Linked DNA regions of Oryctolagus cuniculus. The protein of the gene in region 2 binds, or shares a complex with, the protein of the main gene of each other region. Links are inferred from orthologs where the notes say so. Each region holds a gene or a part of one and is shown on either strand. Other genes may lie near its edges. The genes, in order: ECSIT, NDUFAF1, TMEM186, TMEM126B and ACAD9.

What was found.
Region 1: NDUFAF1 (region 2) and ECSIT share a complex: the UniProt entries of both Homo sapiens proteins name them as parts of the mitochondrial complex. The link is inferred for Oryctolagus cuniculus from reciprocal best matches to the Homo sapiens genes NDUFAF1 and ECSIT.
Region 3: NDUFAF1 (region 2) and TMEM186 share a complex: the UniProt entries of both Homo sapiens proteins name them as parts of the mitochondrial complex. The link is inferred for Oryctolagus cuniculus from reciprocal best matches to the Homo sapiens genes NDUFAF1 and TMEM186.
Region 4: NDUFAF1 (region 2) and TMEM126B share a complex: the UniProt entries of both Homo sapiens proteins name them as parts of the mitochondrial complex. The link is inferred for Oryctolagus cuniculus from reciprocal best matches to the Homo sapiens genes NDUFAF1 and TMEM126B.
Region 5: NDUFAF1 (region 2) and ACAD9 share a complex: the UniProt entries of both Homo sapiens proteins name them as parts of the mitochondrial complex. The link is inferred for Oryctolagus cuniculus from reciprocal best matches to the Homo sapiens genes NDUFAF1 and ACAD9.

The regions. Positions count from the first base shown.
Region 1 is NC_091447.1:66,367,626-66,371,475, forward strand, and holds part of ECSIT (evolutionarily conserved signaling intermediate in Toll pathway, mitochondrial), read left to right. Parts: intron 1-2,140; 5' UTR 2,141-2,160; coding exon 2,161-2,256; intron 2,257-2,912; coding exon 2,913-3,330; intron 3,331-3,628; coding exon 3,629-3,850.
Region 2 is NC_091443.1:64,520,490-64,524,768, forward strand, and holds the start of NDUFAF1 (complex I intermediate-associated protein 30, mitochondrial), read right to left. Parts: upstream 3,022-4,279; 5' UTR 2,936-3,021; intron 624-2,935; exon of another isoform or gene 561-623; intron 1-560. Other genes in the region: RNA polymerase-associated protein RTF1 homolog, read left to right, coding at 3,139-3,336. UniProt on the Homo sapiens protein: As part of the MCIA complex, involved in the assembly of the mitochondrial complex I.
Region 3 is NC_091450.1:27,395,935-27,400,163, reverse strand, and holds TMEM186 (transmembrane protein 186), read right to left. Parts: upstream 2,890-4,229; 5' UTR 2,768-2,889; coding exon 2,765-2,767; intron 2,156-2,764; coding exon 1,517-2,155; 3' UTR 688-1,516; downstream 1-687. Other genes in the region: PMM2 (phosphomannomutase 2), read left to right, coding at 3,019-3,084. UniProt on the Homo sapiens protein: As part of the MCIA complex, required for efficient assembly of the mitochondrial complex I.
Region 4 is NC_091432.1:76,714,083-76,717,258, reverse strand, and holds the end of TMEM126B (complex I assembly factor TMEM126B, mitochondrial), read right to left. Parts: intron 1,514-3,176; coding exon 1,402-1,513; intron 1,181-1,401; coding exon 997-1,180; 3' UTR 834-996; downstream 1-833. UniProt on the Homo sapiens protein: As part of the MCIA complex, involved in the assembly of the mitochondrial complex I. Participates in constructing the membrane arm of complex I.
Region 5 is NC_091441.1:111,793,912-111,798,468, forward strand, and holds the start of ACAD9 (complex I assembly factor ACAD9, mitochondrial), read right to left. Parts: upstream 2,843-4,557; 5' UTR 2,757-2,842; coding exon 2,607-2,756; intron 1-2,606. UniProt on the Homo sapiens protein: As part of the MCIA complex, primarily participates in the assembly of the mitochondrial complex I and therefore plays a role in oxidative phosphorylation.

The DNA.
Region 1 (3,850 bases), on a different chromosome or scaffold from region 2:
CTAGTTGTGAGTCACAAGGGCTTGGTACCCAGAATATAAAAGAATTCTTGTGTTTTTTTTTTTTTTTTAAACATGTATTTATTTATTCAAAAGGCAGAGTTACCGAGAGGTCTTCCATCTGCTGGTTCACTCCCCAAATGGCAGTAAAGGCCAAGACTGGGCCAGGCCAAAACCAGGAGCCAGGAGCTTCCTGCAGGTGTCTCGCGTGGGTGCAGGGGCCCAAGCACTCAGGCCATCTTCTGCTGCTTTCCCAGGCGCATTAGCAGGGAGCTGGATTGGAAGCGGAGCAGCCAGGATTCGAACCAGTGCCCATATGGGATGCCAGCATTGCAAGCGGCGGCTTAACCCGCTATGCCACAACACCAGACCTAAAAGAACTCTTAAAAAAGATAACTATCCCAGTTTTTTAAATGGACAAGGACTGAAGTAGACATTTCTCCTTCACACCGGTCAGTGAGTGCATGGAAGGACGCCCAGTCCATTCATTGGGAAAATACAAATCCAGAACACGAGGAGCCGCGTCCGGCCGAGCAGTGAGGAGGACGCGGGGAAGCGGAGCCCGTGCGCCTCCTGGGAGGATTCTGGGCGCGTGTCACAGCCAGGCCGGAGTCCTGCCGTTCCACAGACGGTAGCGGTTCAGGGAGCCTGTGTCCTCCCGTCCGTCTCGGGAAAAGCAGGGTCTCGTGTTCGCACCGAAGCTCACACACGGACGTCCACGGACGTGCCAGCGGTACCCCCACTGCCTGCCAAGTGAGGAGGGGTAAGGGAAACGCGGTCACCAAGCGATGGCATCCCTCGAGCAGTTCAGAGGCACAAGGGCACCGTGGCCGTGGTTCAGAGGCCCCTGCGACACCAGCATCCCTTCCAGGGGCGCCGGTTCGAGTCCTGCCTGTTCCTCTCGCGACCCGGCTTGTGAACACGCCTGGGAAGACAGCAGAAGGCGGCCTGCATAGCTGGGGCCCCGCCACCAGCTGGGATATGGCTTCCTGGCTTCAGTTTTAGCCTGGCCTGGCCCTGGTCGTTGCAGGTATTTGAAGTCAGCCCGTGGATGGAAGATAGCTCCCGCTGTCTCTCTCTTGCTCTTCCTGTCAAATAATCATTTGTTTAAATCTTCCTTTCAAATAAACACTTTTTAAAAAATCACAAAGATCTTTGTTGGTTGTATAACACCGACCACACGTGGCTCAGTAGATGAATCCTCCGCCTGCGGCGCCGGCATCCTATGTGGGCACTAGTTTGAGTCCCAGCTGCTCCTCTTCTGGTCCAGCTCTCTGCTGTGGCCCAGGAAGGCAGTGGAGGATGGACCAAGTGCTTGGGCCCCTGCACCTGCGAGGGAAACCAGGAAGAAGCACCTGGCTCCTGGCTTCGGATCAGCACAGCTCCAGTCATTGCAGCCATTTCGGAGTGAACCAACGGACAGAAGACCTCTCTCTCTCTCTGCCTCTCCACTCACTGTCTGTAGCTCTACCTCGCAAATGAGTAAATAAAATCTTAAAAAAGAAAAAAGCCCCACAATTTTATTTGTTCTTTAAAGGGTGAGCTATATAGTATATGAATAAAACTTTTAAAAAGGGGCCGGCACTGTGGCACGGCAGGCTAAGCCGTGGTCTGCAGCACCAGCCTCCCATCTGGGTGCTGGTTCAGGTCCCAGCTGCTCCACTTCCGATCCAGCTCTCTGCTGTGGCCTGGGAAAGCAGTGGAAGATGGGGCAAGTGCTTGGGCCCCTGCACCTGCGTGGGAGACCCGGCGGAAGCTCCTGGCTCCTGGCTCCGGATCGGCCCAGCTCTGGTCGTTGCTTCTATTAGGGGAGTGAACCAGCTGATGGAAGACCTCTCTCCCTAACTCTGCCTTTCAAATAAGTAAATAAATAAATCTTTAAAAAGAAGAATGACATAGGGAGAGGGAGCAAGTTCCTGAAGTTATTGAAGGGTTTGGCCCAGCAGCCCCCCCACCCCACCCCCCCCCCCCCACCCCGCCATGGATTGCAAGGTCGCCTTCGTCTGCCTTGTGGGTGAGCAATCCTTGGGGCTGGAGGAAGTGGTGAGGGGACCCGGGTTTGGCCACAGGGCCTGGGACGAGCCCTCGCACGCAGGGTCCCGTCTGCCCACCAGGCTGATGCTGTCTCTTGTTTCTCGACCAGGTCCTGTTAGGAGCAGAGGCATGAGCTGGGCCCAAGCCGCCCTGCTGGCCCGAGGCCTCTCCAGGGGCTGGGGAGGCCTGTGCGGGGCCGCCCTCAGGGGAGCCCCCTTCTCACAGGTAACCACCAGCCGGGCGTCTGGGGAGCGGAAGGAGCAAGGCCTGGCTCGGCTGGTCTGCATCTCCCGCGGGGGTGGCGGGCACCCGGGTACTTGGGCCGTCATCCCTGCTGCCTCCCAGAGTGCGCATGCGCAGGGCGCTGGCCTCACGCAGAGCTGCATCTGGAACCCAGGCTCCAACGGGGGACGCGGGCAGCGTATCTCATACTGAGGGCCCGGTGTGGGTCCAGCTTCCTACGAAGGGGCAGCCCGGGAGGTACCTGATGGAGTTCTTGGATCCCAGCGTCGCTCTGGCTGACCGCCCCGGGCTGCTTACAGGCAAACACAGGCGCCCCGAGCTCTCCGGGGTGTGCACACAGCCCCCGGCCAGGTCCGCGGCCCCAGCGCCGCCCCTTCCTTGCCTTTGGAAGATGTCCGTGGTGGGAGCCCACTGCAGTGGACCCCTTTGTAGCAGAGCTGCGTGGCCCAGATGTGCTTACAGCTGTCAGGGACGCGTGTGCGCTTATCTCCAGATGGCCGCCCCGGCATTGCCCTCCCCCAGCCCCACGCCAGCCCCCTTGGGTTGCTAACCACAGCACCGGCCTTCCGGGATATGCCTGCCACCAACTCCCCTGCGGAAGCAGGCCTGCCAGGCTCCAACCCGCGTCCCTTCCCCAGGTCGCGGCCCTGGCCCTGCGGGGCCTCCACCGCAGCGCGGCGGCCTGCAGCTCCGACCTGTCGCTGGTCCCCAGCCCACCCGAGTCCCAACGCAGGCCCGTCAAGGTCCTGGAGCCCCACGAGGAGCTGTTCAAGCAGGCGCCGGGCGGGGAGCGCGACAAGGCCAGCTTCGTGCGGGCGGTGCAGTGCTTCGGGCAGCAGGACGTGCGCAGGCGCGGCCACGTGGACTTCATCTACCTGGCGCTGCGCAAGATGCGGGAGTTCGGCGTGCAGCGGGACCTGGCCGTCTACAACCTGCTGCTGGACGTCTTCCCCAAGGAGGTCTTCCGGCCGCGCAACGTCTTCCAGCGCATGTTCGTACACTACCCGCGGCAGCAGGAGTGCGGCGTCGCCGTGCTGGAGCAGATGGAGCAGCACGGTGAGGCGGCCGCCCCTGCCTCCCGGGGCCAGGTTCCCTGCCCGGGGTCTGCGCGCGGACCCCACAGCTCGCTCCCTGCCCGGGGTCTGCGCGCGGACCCCACAGCTCGCTCCCTGCCCGGGGACTGCCCGCGGACCCCACAGCTCGCTCCCTGCCCGGGGTCTGCGCGCGGACCCCACAGCTCCCTCCCTGCCCCAGCCCCGGCTCCCTGCCCGGGGTCTGCGCGCGGACCCCACAGCTCTCTCCCTGCCCGGGGTCTGCGCGCGGACCCCACAGCTCCCTCCCTTCCCCGGCGCAGGGGTGATGCCCGACACGCAGACGGAGTTCCTGCTCACGCAGATTTTCGGGCGTAGGAGCTACCCCATGCTGAAGCTGGTGCGCATGAAGCTGTGGCTCACCCGCTTCAAGAACGTCAACCCCTTCCCCGTGCCCCTCCACCTGCCCCCCGACCCCGTGGACCTGGCCAAGCTGGGCTTGCGGCACATGGAGCCCGACCTCAGCGCCAGGGTCACCGTCTACC
Region 2 (4,279 bases):
TTTCTGCTAATGTACACTCTGGGAGACAGCAAATGATGGCTCAAGTACTTTTGTCCCTGCCATTGGTGGGAGACCAGATTGAGTTATGTGCTTTTTCCTTAGGCCTGGCCCGGCCTCAGCTGTTGTGGGTATTTGGGGAGTGAACTAGCAAATGGCAAATCTCTTTTCTATGCCTTTTGGGGGGAGGGAGGGACACTGCACACACAAAAAAATCAGAATCAGAGATTTCACTAAAATAACATAACTTTTGGAGACACCACCGTGGCATAGTGGGTAAAGCTAGCACTGGCATCCCATATGGACACCAGTTCAAGTCCTGGCTGCTCCACTTCTGATCTAGCTCCCTGCTGATGCACCTAGGAAAGCAGTGGAAGACGACCTAAGTGTTTGGGCCCCTGCACTCACATGGGAAACCCAGATGAAGCTCTTGACTCAGCCCTGGCTGTTGTGGCCATTTGGAGAGCGAACCAGTGCATGGAAGACCTTCCCATCCTCCCTGCCCCCACCTTACTGCCCCATAACTCTTAAATAAATAAAAATCTTTAAAAAAAGAAACATACCTTTCTTAATTCCAGTCCAGGGTCGTTATGACTTTCTTTGATGTAACACATTTAAAGAGGGTCATCACAAAAGCGCTCCAGCTTCAGGGTGGCTAGAAATAGGAGGGCTGGCCTGGTCATCTTGGGTCATCTTGGCTCAGTTCCAATATGTTGGGCTAGAGCAGTCTAGGTGTTGGAAAGCTATTCTGGAGTACACAGTTAGCTGGCCTTTATTTAGGTTTTTTTTTTCTACCATAATCTTGATGATCACCCCTTTTCAAGTAAATAGCAGCAAACTGGACATCCGGGTTAAGTGTTTAGTCCCAGGGATTTTTTCTATATTGACTTTTTTGCTCTGTACAATGTCATTTTTTTTTTTTGACAGGCAGAGTTAGACAGTGAGAGAGAGAGAGAGACAGAGTGAAAGGTCTTCCTTCCGTTGGTTCACCCCTCAAATGGCTGCTACCGCCAGCACGCTGAGCCCATCCGAAGCCAGGAGCCAGGCGCTTCCTCCTGGTCTCCCATGTGGGTGCAGGGCCCAAGCACTTGGGCCATCCTCCACTGCACTCCCGGGCCACAGCAGAGAGCTGGACTGGAAGAGGAGGGAGCAACCGGGACTAGAACCCAGGGTGCCGGCACCGCCTATATTGACTTTTTTTTAATTATTATTTTAAAGCATGCACATTTGTGATATGTATTGTAACTTGGCAGAAAAAATAAAATTTATACAGATACTCTTTGACTTATGATGGGGCTAAATTCCCATCATAAATGGAAAATATCCTAGTGGACCAGTGCTACGGCATAGTGGACTAAGCTGCCACCTGTGGTGCTGGCATCCCATATGGGCGCCAGTTCCTGTCCCAGCTGCTCCTCTTCCAATCCAGCTCTCTGCTTATGGCCTGGGAAAGCAGAAGATGGCCCAAGTGCTTGGGTCCCTCACTAGCATGGGAAACCTGGAAGAAGCTTCTGGTTCCTGGATTCAGATCAGCCCAGCTCCAGCCATGCAGCTATTTGGGGAGTAAACCAGCAGATGGAAGACCTTTCTTCTGTCTCTCCCTCTCTAACTCTAGCTCTCAAATAAGTGAATAAATCTTTTTTAAAAATGAAGTAGGTTTAGTACAACTAACCACTGAGCATCACAGCCTAGCAACACAGTAGACCAGAGGATATTAGTTGTTCACCCTCATGATCCTGTGGCTTACCAGGAATAGGGGTTCCCTGCCACTTCCCAGCACCGTGAGAGTACCAAACCACACATCACTGGCCCTGGAAATGATCAAGACTCAAAATCCCAAGTATGGTTTCTACGGAATTGCTTTCTCATCAACATAAAGCAGAAAAATTGTAAGTCAAATTACCCTAAATCAGAGGACCGCCCATCGAGCAAAAGGAGAAAAAGAGAGACATAGTAAGGACTCAACAACTCTAGGGGGATGGGGCCTCATTCCAAGTTCACTACCAGAATAAATGAATTGATGGACTCAAAAAAGAGATCTGAGACCAATTGCAAAATACTATTTCTTATGCTCTCTATATTCCACAGCCCGCAAAGAAATCACTTTTGGAGCAGACTTTATCAGATGATCTCAAACTCAAGTATAGAACCGAACTTATTTCCTACAAACACCAGCCCCTCAAACCTTCTTCTGAGGTATTTTTTTTTTATCTTGATGAATGGCTCTAAATGAGGATCTGAACATCACCCATGTCTGAGGCCTCTCCTTCCTTACTCCTCCCTCAACTAAGGTCCAAAACCTGCAGGGTCTGCCTTCCAAATGACCCAGAATCCATCCTCTCCTCTCCATTCCCACTGCTGTTTCCTTAGTTACAGATACCATAATCTCAGGCTAAGAAGACACCAACAGCCCAATTGGTCTCCTTGCCCATAGTCTCTCTGCCTTCTAACCCATTAGTCACGCTGCAGCCAGTCATCTTTTCAAAACTTATGTCGTTCTTCAGGTTAAATCTCAATACTAAAGTTCACACTCCCTAATATAGCTAAATAGGCTCTGAATGATGTGGCCGCGGCATCCCATCCTTGCCTCATCTCTCTCATCATCCCCACACAGTCTGCTCCAGCTACAATGAACTTCCAGTACCCTGAACCCAACTTTATTATTATTGCTAGGTCTTTGCCCACGATGCTCTCTGCTTGGTACACCCTTCCTCCACTCAGGTACATTCTCCTCTGCCGTCACTTGCACTGCTCAGGTAGGCAGGCTCCATCCCCCAAGCGGTGCCCTCGGCCATAAAGCTGTTTTCCAAGGGGCGGCCCCTTAAGTAGCCCTCCACACTCCATCAGTCTCAGACAGTCGAAAGGCTGCAGACGCATGAGACTCTTCCGAGAGGATTCGGGTCCTTTCGACTTCAGCCAGGACAGCAAAGAAGCCCACCTAGCTTCGGCCCAGCAGCACAGGAACAACCTGTACTTCCCGGACGGCGACAGCATGCAACCGCAACCCTCTGCCCGGAACTCAACCGGTCGCGCGGCCCCGCCTTCCACGCTGCGTAGGGGGCGGGATGGGGCGGGGCGCCGGGCTCTGGCGAACGGCTTGCGCCGGGCGGGGGGCGGGGCCAGGGGCGGAGCGGAGCGCGCATGCGCGGTCGCCTTTGTGTGGGTCGAGCGGCGGCGGCGGCGGCGGCAGTGGCGGTCCCACTGGCAGGCGGGCAAGAGGGGAGTCCGGGCGGCGTCCGGCGTGGGAGCCGGGGGACCACCATGGTAAAGAAGCGGAAAGGCCGTGTCGTGATCGACTCGGACACAGAGGATAGCGGCAGCGACGAGAACCTGGATCAGGTGGGGGCAGGCCGCGAAGGCGCGGGCCGGCAGAGCCGGAGGGCTGAGTCGGGGCCACGGGATCCGGGAGCCGACCGGGCCCGGAGCCTCCTGGCCTGAGCGTCCGGTCTGCTCCGTTCCCTGACCGCGGTGCAGCCCCCTTTCCTGTGTTCCCCGCAGCGTCCGAGGCCCTCAGAGTCCGGCCCAGGCCTGGAGACAGAGCCCCGAGGACTTGGCGCCTTGGGCGGGGAGGCGGGGCAGGGACGGAGATGATGGGCCTCGGGCTCAGGGGTTCCGAAGGGGGCCTCGGGGCTCTGGGGTACCGAAAAGGGGCCTCGATCTTTCGGGGCCGCATCGGGACGACGGGCTATAGGCCAGGCGCTCGGGGCCCGGGAGATAGGAAGTATCTCCCGCCAACCCCGGGTAGGCTGGAAGGTTTTGGAGGAGGTGCAGTGGTGACCGTGGGGCGGTGCGGGGGAGAGGGCCGAGAAGGTGCAGACTCTGAAGATGAAGTTTTTCAGACAACGGGTGTGGGCAGAGGAGGGACACTCGTAAACGTTCCGGGGAGCTTCTGTCGTGCTTGGCAAGGAAGACTTAGTGTGGGCATGAGTCTGAGGGCTAGGGTCGTTTGTGGTTGCAGTGGGTCCCTGCTGGGATGTCAGAGCGAAGAAGACACTCTTGGGAGGAGGGAAGAATCGGAGAACTATGTAGGACGGCGTGGAGGGACTGTGGCCCGGGACTCTTGGCATTTTTCATGCAGCATTCCAGAATTCTTTCTTACTTGGAGATCGTGCAGGGAACATTAAAAGTAACTTTTGGCCTCAGTGTCTTGGGATAGCCTGAACTGTTTCTATACCCTAGAAAGTACTGTAGGAAGCTGTCCTTTGTAGCATTGCTTTGAGAATACCATGAGATACAAAGATAGTTTCTCCCGTGTTTAAGGAGCAAATGGTACAAAGAAAGA
Region 3 (4,229 bases), on a different chromosome or scaffold from region 2:
AGCTCCTGACAGAGCTGGTCATTGTGGCCATTTGGAGTGTGAACCAGTGAGTGGGAGATCTTGTCTCTCCTTCTCTCTGTAACTCTGCCTCTCAAATAAATAATAAATCTTTAAAAAAGGGAAGGGGAGGGGGGAGGCAGGGAGGGGAGAGAACCTCTGGACATTGCAATGGGAATGTAACCCGGCATAGCCACTGTAAAAAGTCTGGCAGGTCCTCCAATGGTTAAACACAGAATTACCAGAGGACCTAGGAGTCCCACATCTTGGGATGCACCCAAAGGTGAAAATAATCCCAACGTCCCCCAGCACATGAACAGAGACAAACGTGGCAGTACACGGAACAATACCGTCCAGCTATAAGGAAGAATTACATGCCACTACACGCTACCCACACGTTGAAAACATCACACCAAGCCAACGAAGCCAGTCACGAAAGGGCACATACTGTGTGATTCCAGGCCATGCCATGTCCAGACAGGCAGATTCTAAGGCAGAAGGGGATTAGTGGCTGCCAACGGGAGAGCGAGTGCTGCTCTGTGGGTACAGAGGCCCTGGGATGGTGAAAAACTTCTGGGGGTGAACTGTGGGGGTGGTTACACCACACTGCAAATGTACTTACTGTCCCTGAACTGTACACTTAACATGGTTACAACGATACATTTGTGATGAGTACATGACAATGAAAACAGAGGTGATACGAAATTTATTGACTTATGCGTGGCAAAATCACGAAGACCTTTACCCTGCTACAAGCTACGTGGCCGACACACACACCGATCACGGGAGGCAACACGCAGAGGTAGAGCACTACACACACCCATCTGGCTCCATGACGCAGCGGGACGGCCTCGGCCTGTGGGTGCGGAACATCTCAGCTGGGGCGTCGCGCCTCACTCGGGGTGCAGTTACCATCCTGGGAGGGTGCAATGCCCCCGCCACGCTTCGTCCCACTCTTCTGCTAAGGGGTGCATGGAGAGGCAGAACACAGGGCTCCCGCGCGCTGCCTGAAAGCCCCGACCACCACCTCTGAGCAGACGCTTCCCAGTCGCCCAGGGCTACGGCCTTGCATGTTTACTGTGTGTTCTGACATCCAGCCCACGAGACAGAAAGAACTTTCCGTTTGACAGACGTGAGAAACCAAGGCTCACACAGACTCCGTCAGCTGCCCAGAACAGCGAGCTGACAGCACCCCAAACCCTGTGCTCCTCCCACATCTGTCTTCCAAATACCCGTGAACTGTCCGGGTGACCGTGGCATAGCTTCCTCCAAGAACTGGATCCGAACAGAACCTCCTGGCCATTATCTGCAAGAACAGCACGCGCAAGTGCAGGAAGAATCCGCACTCGGGCGCCTTCCCGTAAACCTGGGTCCGAATTTCTGTGTTCTTCCGAAAAGACAAACTCCCAGGGTTCTGACAGTCTCTAGGGGCCCGATTCCCTCCTTCGGCCTCGTCTACACCCTCAGCCTTCTTGGTTAGTGACCCAAGGGGCCCAGGGCTTCCCAGAGGCCCAGCTGATCACTTGAGCGAGTCCAGTCTCCCAAACACCTGTGTGAAGCGCTCTCTGTCCAGGACGCGCCCGTAGCGCAGAGGTAGGTAGAAGGTCTGCTTCCCGCTGTACTGCTGGATGCGCACAAACACCTCGTGGGGCCGGTCCCTCGTCTCCGTCAGGGGGACCACGTCCGCCACGGGGCAGTACGTGTCCTGTCGCCAGCCCCAGAAGGTGAGGTGAGCCACCCGCAGCACGGTGCCCGACTCGTTCACATACAGGATGCCTACGAGCCTGCGGAAGAAATGGCTCATCCAGCACAGCATGGCCAGGGCGAAGCCAGCTATGCCACCCACCAGGCACAGCGAGTCGAGCGGCATGAGGCCCTGGGAGTACCAGTAGAAGCCGGGCGGCAGAGCCACCAGCGTCAGGGCCGTCTGCGCCACCTTCAGCCGAGATATGTACCCAAACGCTCTGATGGCATCGAAACGGTAGACCATCTGGAACTTCTCGGTCTCTGTGCCCGGGGCTTTCTCCTCGGAACCGGGAGACCTGCTCCGCACCCACCTCTTGGGATCCTCTCGCCCACCGCAGGACCACAGCCCGCAGAGGGGCTTTCCCCAGGCGGCCGGCCCCCGCCACCTGGGCACAGCTCGGAGGAGGGCAGCCTGGAAGGGAGACAAGAGACCGTTTCCTCTCAGAACTCGGCTTCCACCTGCGTGAGTTCGTTAGGCTTTACCAACGGGCACTCAGAACACACTGAACGAGACAACGGTTTTTACGCCGTAAACGCAGCACCACTGTGCATCAGCACCGGCAGGGGCTTGGTTCCGGGATGCACGACAAGACACCCAAACCAGAGGGCTCACGTCTCTTATGCAAAATGGCACAGTGTTTGTGTGATACCTTATACCACTACTACGATGGAAACGCGGCGTAAAGAGTGGTTATGGGGGATTCCTTTGGGAGTAGCAAGAGCCCGTAGGCGTTCCGCACAGACGCAGCTGTCTCGGCAGCTGAGTGAATCCATGGATGGGGAGCGCACGGATAAGCAGCGCCGACTGCTCGGGGCCCACCCTGAGCACCCCCGCGAGGCTCGCTAGCACCGCTGCTGGCCCACGTGACCCCGCAAGACCACAGCAAGCCGTGGAGGAGCACATCGTAACCCACATCGGGGCAATCGCCCCAGGACCCAACAAACCAGAAGCTCAGGATTCCTGCCTGTTTGCCCCAACACTGGCTCCGACCCCGACGCAGCCCATCACCCTCCTCCTTACCATGGCCCTGCTCCCTGGCGCCGGATACAACCTCACCGCCGCCGGAAACTCTAAGGGCGCATGCTCGGACTACGCGCGTTGCATGCTGGGAGTTGTGGTGTAGCGTCCGTGGCCGACGCTAGCCCCGGGCATTGTGGGAGGCTGTGGGAGTCTCTTCCCGACGTGCTCTGCGGCGAAGAGGGCCGAACCCGGAAGTTCCGGGTCGAGGTCCGGGTGCCAACGAGTCGTCTCAGGTGTGGACGGAAACGGGGGCCATGGCAGCTCCGGGACCAGCGCTTTGCCTCTTCGACGTGGACGGGACCCTGACCGCCCCGCGGCAGGTAGGCGGCGCGCAGAGGGCTGGCGGCAGCCGGCACGGAGCACTTTCTGCTCCTAGACGGGACGAACGACCGTCCAGCTTGGGTGCCTGGGTGCAACTGAGGACCGCCTCCCGCCTCCAGGGGCTGCCCTTGGTCTGGGTGCCCCAGCGGCGGGAGACGGGCCTGAAGCAGCTCGTCAAGATCCCGGGGTGCTCGGAGAGGGAGGGCGGGGTCGGGAAACTTGGGTTAGAACAAGCAGCCCGTTCTCTGGCCGCGAGCCCTGAACCCCAGCCGAGGCCCCCTCAGCAGCTGTGTGACCTTCCCCGTCCCGTCGCGCGTGGCTGGACCTTGGAGCGAGATGCTGAAAGCGCAGGGTTCGGGCCGGCGCTGCGGCTGTTACTAGTTAAACATCCGTGTGCCTGCGGCGCCGGCATCCCATATGGGCGCCGGGTTGAGTCCCACCTGCTCCACTTCGGATCCGGCTCCCTGCTGATGGCCTGGGAAAGCTGCAGTGGACGGGCCCGGTCCTTGGGCCCCTGCACCCATGTGGGAGACCCGGAAGAAGCTCCTGGCTTCGGATCAGCGCAGCCGCGGCCCTTGCGGCCATTTAGGGAGTGAGCCCTTGGGTGGAAGACCCCCTCTCTCTATCTCGACCTCTCTCTGTCTGCAACTCTGCCCTCAAATAGATAAATCTTAAAGAAAGAAAGTGTAGATTTCCTAGTCCAGAGGACCTAGCGGAGCCTCAGCTTGGGCCAGTTAGCCCCAGCCGGAAGCGGGGACAGTGCTTGTTACGTGTCATCCGAATAGGACCAAATGCAAGGTGTCTGCTCGCAGTAGGCCTCCGTAAGCACGGGCCGTCTCCACCCGCCCTGTGCAGCCCCTGCCGGGGTCGGGGTCGGGGTCGGGGGGACGTCCTAGGTCGTCACAGGCAGCCTGGTGAGTCTCTGCACCCTTGGAAGCGTGCCCCCCGCGCTCAGATCTGCCTGCTGCGGGCGCGCGTACGTTTCAGCTACGATCAGCTTCGTGGCGAGGCTCTCCCTTGTACAGACTGGTCGCAGGAACACCAGCCATGGGAGGCAGCAGTCAGCACACACCTGTGGGTTGTTAAAAGCCCTTACTGGCGGCCGGCGCCGCGGCTCACTAGGCTAATCCTCCGCCTGGCGGCG
Region 4 (3,176 bases), on a different chromosome or scaffold from region 2:
ATTTATAGCATCATTCATAGGCAATACCGTTATCAAGTTAAAAATTAGCCAGCTACAGGACTGGCACTGTGGCACAGCAGGTCAAAGCCCTGGCCTGCAGTGCCAGGATCCCATATGGGCGGAGGTTCAAGTCCCAGCTATTCCACTTCCAATCCAGCTTCCTGTTAATGCATCTGGGAAAGTAGCAGAGGATAGCTCAAGTCCTTGAGCTCCTGTAGCCAGGTGGGAGAACCAGAAGCAGCTCCTGGCTCTTAGCTCTGGATCAGCTCAGCTCCAGCTGTTGCAGCCATTTGGGAAGTGAACCATCAGATGGAAGACCATTCTCTGTTTCTACCTCTTTTTGTAACTCTTTCAAATAAATAAAATAGCCAGCTATAGAGTTACTGAATTTTGAGTCCTACTGATGGTTACCTTGGTAGGTCCAGGCCTATTGACTTTACAGGTGTTAAACAGCTCAAGGGCCAGATGTTCTCCAACCCTGGAGAGAAATGGGTTGTATGTTATTTCCATACCTTGCTTTCATATGAACTTCCAATTTCTCCTTCAGAATTTGGCTCAACTGGCACTTTCTCCCCATAACTTCCCTTTTTACTTAAGTGATAGTCACATTCTCAGTGCTCCCACAAATTATGTGTGTAGTTCATAAAACCTTTTATGTGTACCTGTTTATTTTTCTTATAATTGAGAGTTCCTTCTGGGTAAGGAATAGTTCTTATTAATAAGTGACACAGGGCCTGAGGAATTAATTTATAACTACATAGATCAGACCTGAGGCTCCAACTGCTTTGTGCATTTAATGAGGAAAGAAAGATGAAAATTATTATTTCACACTGTTTTACATTTACTGAATTACTGAATATTTATTAAGTATCTGCAATATAGCAGGCGAAACAGAGACAAGTTCTCTGTCCAGAGTGACTTTCAATTTTTTCCACAATATCCAAGTACTCATCATAAAAAAAAAACCATTTTGCTGAATCAGTACCCATTCTTTGATTAATCTTCATGTACCGTTTTTGCAAGTGTTTTTTCAAACAGTGAATAATGCTGTAAACCAATAAGTACTCCAAACATTGTCTGAAAGACTAGAGGAATCACCATTGCTTTTATCTCTGTTTGACAAAGCAGCATCCAATGGAGTAAAACCCTTCCTTTCGGTGGCAGTGGAACTGTATGATATCTGAAAAAGAAAAAGAGTTAATCACGTCTCCTGAATATATCTTCTATCAAGTTTACTGATTTCACCTAAACTGATAATTTCCACTACAGGTCTATAAGGTAGATAGCAAAAAAAAAAAAAAGAAAAAAAATGCAAGAAAGAAAAAAACCCCAAAATTAGTTATTTGGAACACGGAACTAATACATTTTGATAGAAAGAAGAAAAGGAACAAACAGACTTACCTGACTGCCAGGCGTCCATTTTTAGAAAAAGCCAAACTAGAGGGATATAAAATACCACATACTATGCCAACCAGTGAACTTCTAAGGACACAGTTTTCCTTGCTTATGTTACCTGAAAAACAAAAGTAAATTTGGTTTATCTTTAAAAAACTCAGGATAAGAACCTTGAAGATAGTGTGGTGACTCATAGAGAAGTTATGTACAATATTTTCAACCACAGTGAAACAGTACAGAGTATATTAGAAATTCAAAGTCTATGGCATGTAACCAGCTAAATGAATCACATTTTAAAAGTGCTTTTATTGTGCTTCATCATTTGGAGAATTACCCCTTACATTTATGGTTGTTGAAGAAGGATTTTCATAAGAATCTGAGTACTAAACTAGCAGACCAAATCCAAGTTAATACATTTATCGTCTCCTACATGAAAGGCACGTGCTAGGGATACCATGGTGCAAAGACAATCCAATTTCTTACCTCTGGCAGGTCTACCACAGAAGAAAGAATCAGACAGATATTTAAGTGCACACAAGGATTTTACAGTAAAGTGTTTAGAGAATGTATCTAGAAACCTAACTTACACTAAGGGAATCAGGGAAAGTTTCTCTGCAGAAGACATTTAAGCAGGGACCTGAAGAATGAACAGGGGCTAGAGGCTCCAGCAATTACTGTGAAACTTGTGACAGATACTATTTAACACAGATATCATTTAACATAGAATTTTTTTTTATTTTTTATTTTTTGACATGCAGAGTGCACAGTGAGAGAGAGAGAGACAGGGAGAAAGGTCTTCCTTTTTCCGTTGGTTCACCCCGCAATGGCCGCTGCGGCTGGTGTGCTGCCGCCTGCACACCGTGCTGATCCGAAGCCAGGAGCCGGGTGTTTTTCCTGGTCTCCCTTGCAGGTGCAGGGCCCAAGCGCTTGGGCCATCCTCCACTGCACTCCCGGGCCACAGCAGAGAGCTGGACTGGAAGAGGAGCAACCGGGACAGAATCCAGCGCCCCGACCGGGACTAGAACTCGGGGTGCCGGCGCCGCAGGCAGAGGATTAGCCTATTGAGCCGCGGTGCCAGCCAGAATATCTTTTTTTAAAGATTTATTTATTTATTTGAAAGTTGGAGTTAGAGAGAGAGGACAGGCAGAGAGGCAGAGAGAGAGAGAGAGAGAGAGAGAGTCTTCCATCCGCTGGTTCACTCCCCAATTGGTCACAATGGCTGGAGCTGTGCCTATCCAAAGCCAAGAGCCAGGAGCTGCCTCCAGGTCTCCCACGCAGGTGCAAGGGTCCAAGGACTTGAGCCATCTTCTACTGCTTTCCCAGGCCATAGCAGAGAGCTGGATCAGAAGTGGGACAGTGGGACTTGAACCAGCACCCATATGGGATGCCAGCACTGCAGGTGGCAGCTTTACCTGCTATGCCACAGCACCGGCCCCAGTACAGTATCTTTTAATTCTCACAGCAATTCTATGAGATAAGTACAATTAGGGTTAATTCAGAGGTAACACAACTAAGGTTCACAGATTAAATGACTTGCTCGATATCACAAAACTTATGTAGTAGGAAGTAGAATCTGAGGTCATATGTGTTTATTCTTTCTCCAGTAACACTTTTATTTTTTAGTGTCCTTGAACTTGCTTCAGTTTGACTGCCTATCTATAAAAAGGAGACAATACTACTTGCTCTGCTTGATCAGAACTGTCATGTGGATTACATAAAACAGTGTGGGGGCCGACACTGTGGGGAAGCAGGTAAAGCTGCTGCCTGCGGTGCTAGCATCC
Region 5 (4,557 bases), on a different chromosome or scaffold from region 2:
AAATTTAATACCTAGCAGCCCCTACTGCAGTAATATTGGTGAAAGGGGAAAGAAAAGGGCATCCTAGATTCCTCATCTGGCCAGCAGGACACAACTCACTGCAGTTATAAAGACTACACCAAGCGCTTAAGATGCAGGCTGTCCCAGGGCCATCTTCCTCCCCACACACCACTTTCCTTATCCATAACAAGTGATGAGGACTGTCCCATAGAACAGGAAGTCCAGGACTTGAGTCTGGTCCTGGATTTGCCACTTGCCAACTGCGGCCGCAGCCACCTCCCTTCACCTCACCAAGCTCCTGTTGACTCAAGTTCCTTGTGAGAATCCTGGAAGGCGGAATGAGAAAGGTCTTTTCTAAAATGGAGAGAATCCTACATCAGTTACTTTGAGTTAAAAATGGTGCTGCTGACAGGAGCACGGCGTGGCTGCCAGATCTGACCACGGAGCCTCTGGCCCTCAGTCGCTGCAGCCACTCCCTGTGCTGTGGGATCAGAGAGCAAAGCCCAGCTGTGGATCCACATCGCCCTGAACTTCACCCTGGCACAGCCACTCCTCGCAGGTGACTGGGCAGCTTGCATCATCCCTCTCCGTCCGGTTCTCTCCCACAGATGATTCTCTTTATCTCAGAAGGTGACTGTGGTCACGTGCCCCAGGACATAAAGTAAGTGTTCTCAGCTTCTGGCTCCACTGTTGTCCCACCTGGTGACCTGGAAAGTGACTTAGCTGCCAGTCTCTTTCCAATCCCTGACTAGCCCAGGATTCCCTCCTGCTGGCCCTGGAGAGCATTCCACAGTATCAAAAGCCCCTCTGGCCTTGGGACTCCAACTAACCCTTCGGCAGCCAGCATGGCACCAGGAAGTGGACTTGGGGGTGCCTATTATAAGCTGCCAGGCCCCAGGAGCCCTGCCTGTCCTCATGGCACTGGAGCTTCAGGAAGGTTGTCACAGAAGTCCTCATCCTTGTTCCCAGCCTCTGCACATCTCATTGACCACCTGACTTGTCTACTCCAGCACCGTGCTCCCCAATCTGTCCTCAGCTCTCTGGCCCCAGGACTGCAGGCTTATTGGGGCTACCCTATCCAAAAGCGACAGCAGACTTAGCGGTGTCCTGCCTCTCTGTCACAACCCTCTACTAAGGGGGTCTGGAAGGAAAGGCAGGTACACCTGTCACCACTCTCAAGCCTCTGGAGACAAAGCTGTCTCTGCCCAACAGAGGCGACTGCCCCCTCACACTCCCTTCCCTAGCCTTGTTGGTCAGCTGGGCAATGGCTATGGGAGGAGATAGGGGGATGATCACTGACATCGGTGGGCAGGCCACGTGACAGAATAGAGACAGCCTGGTAACTTGGTGGCCTTGGACCACAACCAAAGGGTAACTGCTACAGGGAGATGCCCCGGGTGCCAGGGAGAAAGAGTTCTTGGACAACAATGGTCAAAAACTGACAGGTGTGCCTCACGGGAGGGGAACTCAGTTGCAATGGACAGTTTTCAAACTTGTAAAGCAGGGAGACCTGTTATTCCCATAAATCTAGGGCAGAAGTCACGTAAGACAGATCAAAGCCAGGCAACTTGATTGAGGCTGCTCATAAGAAGAGAGGCCCAAATCTCACTGACTCAGCCTCCCGTTCAACCCTGCAGGAGCCCCTGGGGCACTCCTTCCTATAATTTTGCCCCAACTAAGGGCAGAATGATGCTCACCAGCCTCAATAACCTGGGGTTCTCTTTCTATTCTAAAAGGCTAATAGTCGCTGCCCTGTTCCTACTAAAGACCCAGAAATGCTGAGGGAGGCCTGACCCAGAGGAGGAGCTGTGCTTGAGCCTAAAGGTGGTCAGATACAGATCTGGGAGGCAGCAGTGACAACTCCAACAACTGGGTTCCTGTCACCCATGTGGGAGACCGAGAATGAGCTTTGGCCATTACAGGCATTTTGGGGAGTGAACCAGCAGACGCATCAATGAATGAATGAATGAATGAGCCCCTTGTAGCTGAAGAATTTCCATGCACTATCAACCCTACAGGGGCTCTACAACACATCTGTGAGGTACACACACCCACCAGCTCCATTTTAAGGCCGAATGAGACAAGGCTCAAAGTCACAGAGATAAGATCAAATCTCAGTCTTCAAAAGAGGATGGTGTTCAGCAGCCACATTGTTGCTGTGGGCGTGGTGCAATCCTCGGAAGGGAGGGGGCGGAGGGCACCTCGGAGCCAGATTCAGGAAGAACTTGAATGGCAGGGCGAGGGGCTAGGGCTCAGCCGCAGAGGGAAACCCCGGGGGGCCCCACAGGTGCCAGGAGCGCCCTGGGCAGAGCGGGATTCAGGTACCACAAGCAAAACCCGCACATTTGGGGGCCGGCAAAGCCCGGGTGAGCGTGGCTCGGCGACCTCTCCCCAGGGCTCTCCCAAGACTCCCTGGAAGAACTCGCGGGGACTTGTCAAAGCCACTCCGCCCGGGGACCCGGCCCCGGCCCCTGGGAAGGCTCCGGCGGGTTCGGATCCCGGGGTTGCGGCACGGACCGCCCCTCGGGAACATCTGGCCGGGCACGTTTGCGGGCTCCGGCCCTGCCGTGACCGGCGAGCAGCGGTCGGCCCGGGGCTCGCCTTACCTTCTCGATCTTGCCCAGGAAGAGCTCCTTGGCGAAAGTCGCGCTCCGCGGGCTGGTGCGCAGCGGGCGCCGGCTCTCCGTGAAGGCCACCAGAGCCCGACAGACTCGCGCGGCCGCCGCCGTGCGCAGGATTAGCCCGCAGCCGCTCATGCTGCCGGCGTCCGCTCCGGGCGCTGAAAGTGCAGGCTCGAGCGCCGCGCCTCAGCCAAGGGCACCCGGGCCGCGCCTCCTGATGACGCCATTGGCCGGCGCCGCCGCACCCACTGCGCTTGCGCCGCCAGCCGCCCCTGGAGAGCGAGGGTGGCTAGGCGGGGTCCGTGCAGTTTTGTTGGGTTCAGGCTCAGGCTTACGGTGGCTGCCGGTCGTTTGCAAAAGTGCAGGCCCTAGGACTATGCTTCCCAGGCGAACGGGAATCTAAGTGCTCCCATTTGCCCCCGTCAATGAGGCAATGCAAAGCAATGCACGGTGTTGGTTACCTCTGCAGGGAGCTCACAGCATGGGGCATGCTTCTTGCTTTTAAGTGGAGGGTGGAATCGCCGGGACCCTTTTGTCTTCCTTTGTAGCTCACGGGGATGTGACGCTGAGCCCCTCTGCCGTGCCTGGCTGTCGATGCTGCCTGCTACCACGCTTTAGTCTCCCACACTCCGACTTCTCCCGTAGCCCTAAGGGTTACTTGTTCTGCTGACCCAGGACAGTCAGCCCAGGACCCCAGAACCGAGCCGTCTCTCCGTGCAGAGCGGGCCGGGAGCAGGGTCTGAAGCCAACCCTCTCTACTTCCCCTCTCCCACCCTTTTCTCCTCGAGGACCCTTCTGCTCACCCTGCCCACCCGCGTGCGTGTTTGCATTCTCCCTTTTAAAGCTTTGTTTGCCACTTTGTGCGCTGCATATGTGCCTGTAGTTAGACTGCTTCTCCAGGGCCTGGAATAAAAATTAGAACTCACTTCCCCGGCCTCAATGTGATTGCAAATCAACTGCTTCTTAAATTCACTTAATTGAGGGAATGGGACATTGAGTCTTGCTGCCCCACAGGGTCCCACATCACAAGATTTGTGAGTTCATTGACCTCTTTTCCAGCTGACATCTTGCTGGATCTTGGTCTTCAAGACCAAGATCTTGGTCTTCAAGGGTTTTTTTGGGAGTCCCAAGCCCTGAGTAAAAAATACCGGCCCGTCTGCTACAAGCCCCCCTAACTGGAGCGTATTTTGCCATCATCAAAATTCCCGAAAGAACCTGATATTGCTGGTCAATCAAAGAAGGGCAAAGATCAGCACAAGAATGAAAAACACTTCTCAATCCCAAAACCATCTATAAGATCTCTGACCATATTTTTTTAAAATAAGCTTTATTTATTTGAAAGAGTTAACAGAGAAGGAGAAACAAGCAGAGAGGAAGAGAAAGATATCTTCCATCTGCTGGTTCCATCCACAATGGCCAGGGCTGGGCTAACCTAAAGCCAGTGCAAGGTGTCCAGCGCGAAACAAATCTTCCCAGCCAGATCAATCAGTTTACAGGCTTTCATTGGGATTCCACTCCTGGGCGAGGTTCCCAGCCCAACAGGGCGGGGCCGGGGAAGTCAGGTGTCAGAGGTTGGGAGGGCTCCTTACACAGGTACAGGGTGTGGGGGTTAAAGGTTGAGGCGGGCCTGATCCTCATTGGTTGACCTTTAGGTGCCTGCAGGGACCTTGGCAAGGACTTTTCATTCCTGGAAGTGGGGGTACGGACTCTCCATTCCTGGAAGTGTGGGCCTTCTCCCCTGCAGATCCCAAAGCTACCAGTCAGGAGCTAGGAGCTTCCTCCAGGTCTCCCAGATGGGTGCAGCGGCTCAAGCACTTGGGCCATCTTCTGTTGCTTTCCCAGAAGCACTAGCAGGGAGAAGGACCGGAAGTGGAGCAGCCAGGGCTCCAACTGGCGTCCATATAGGATGCCGGTGCCGCAGGTGGCAGCTTTACCT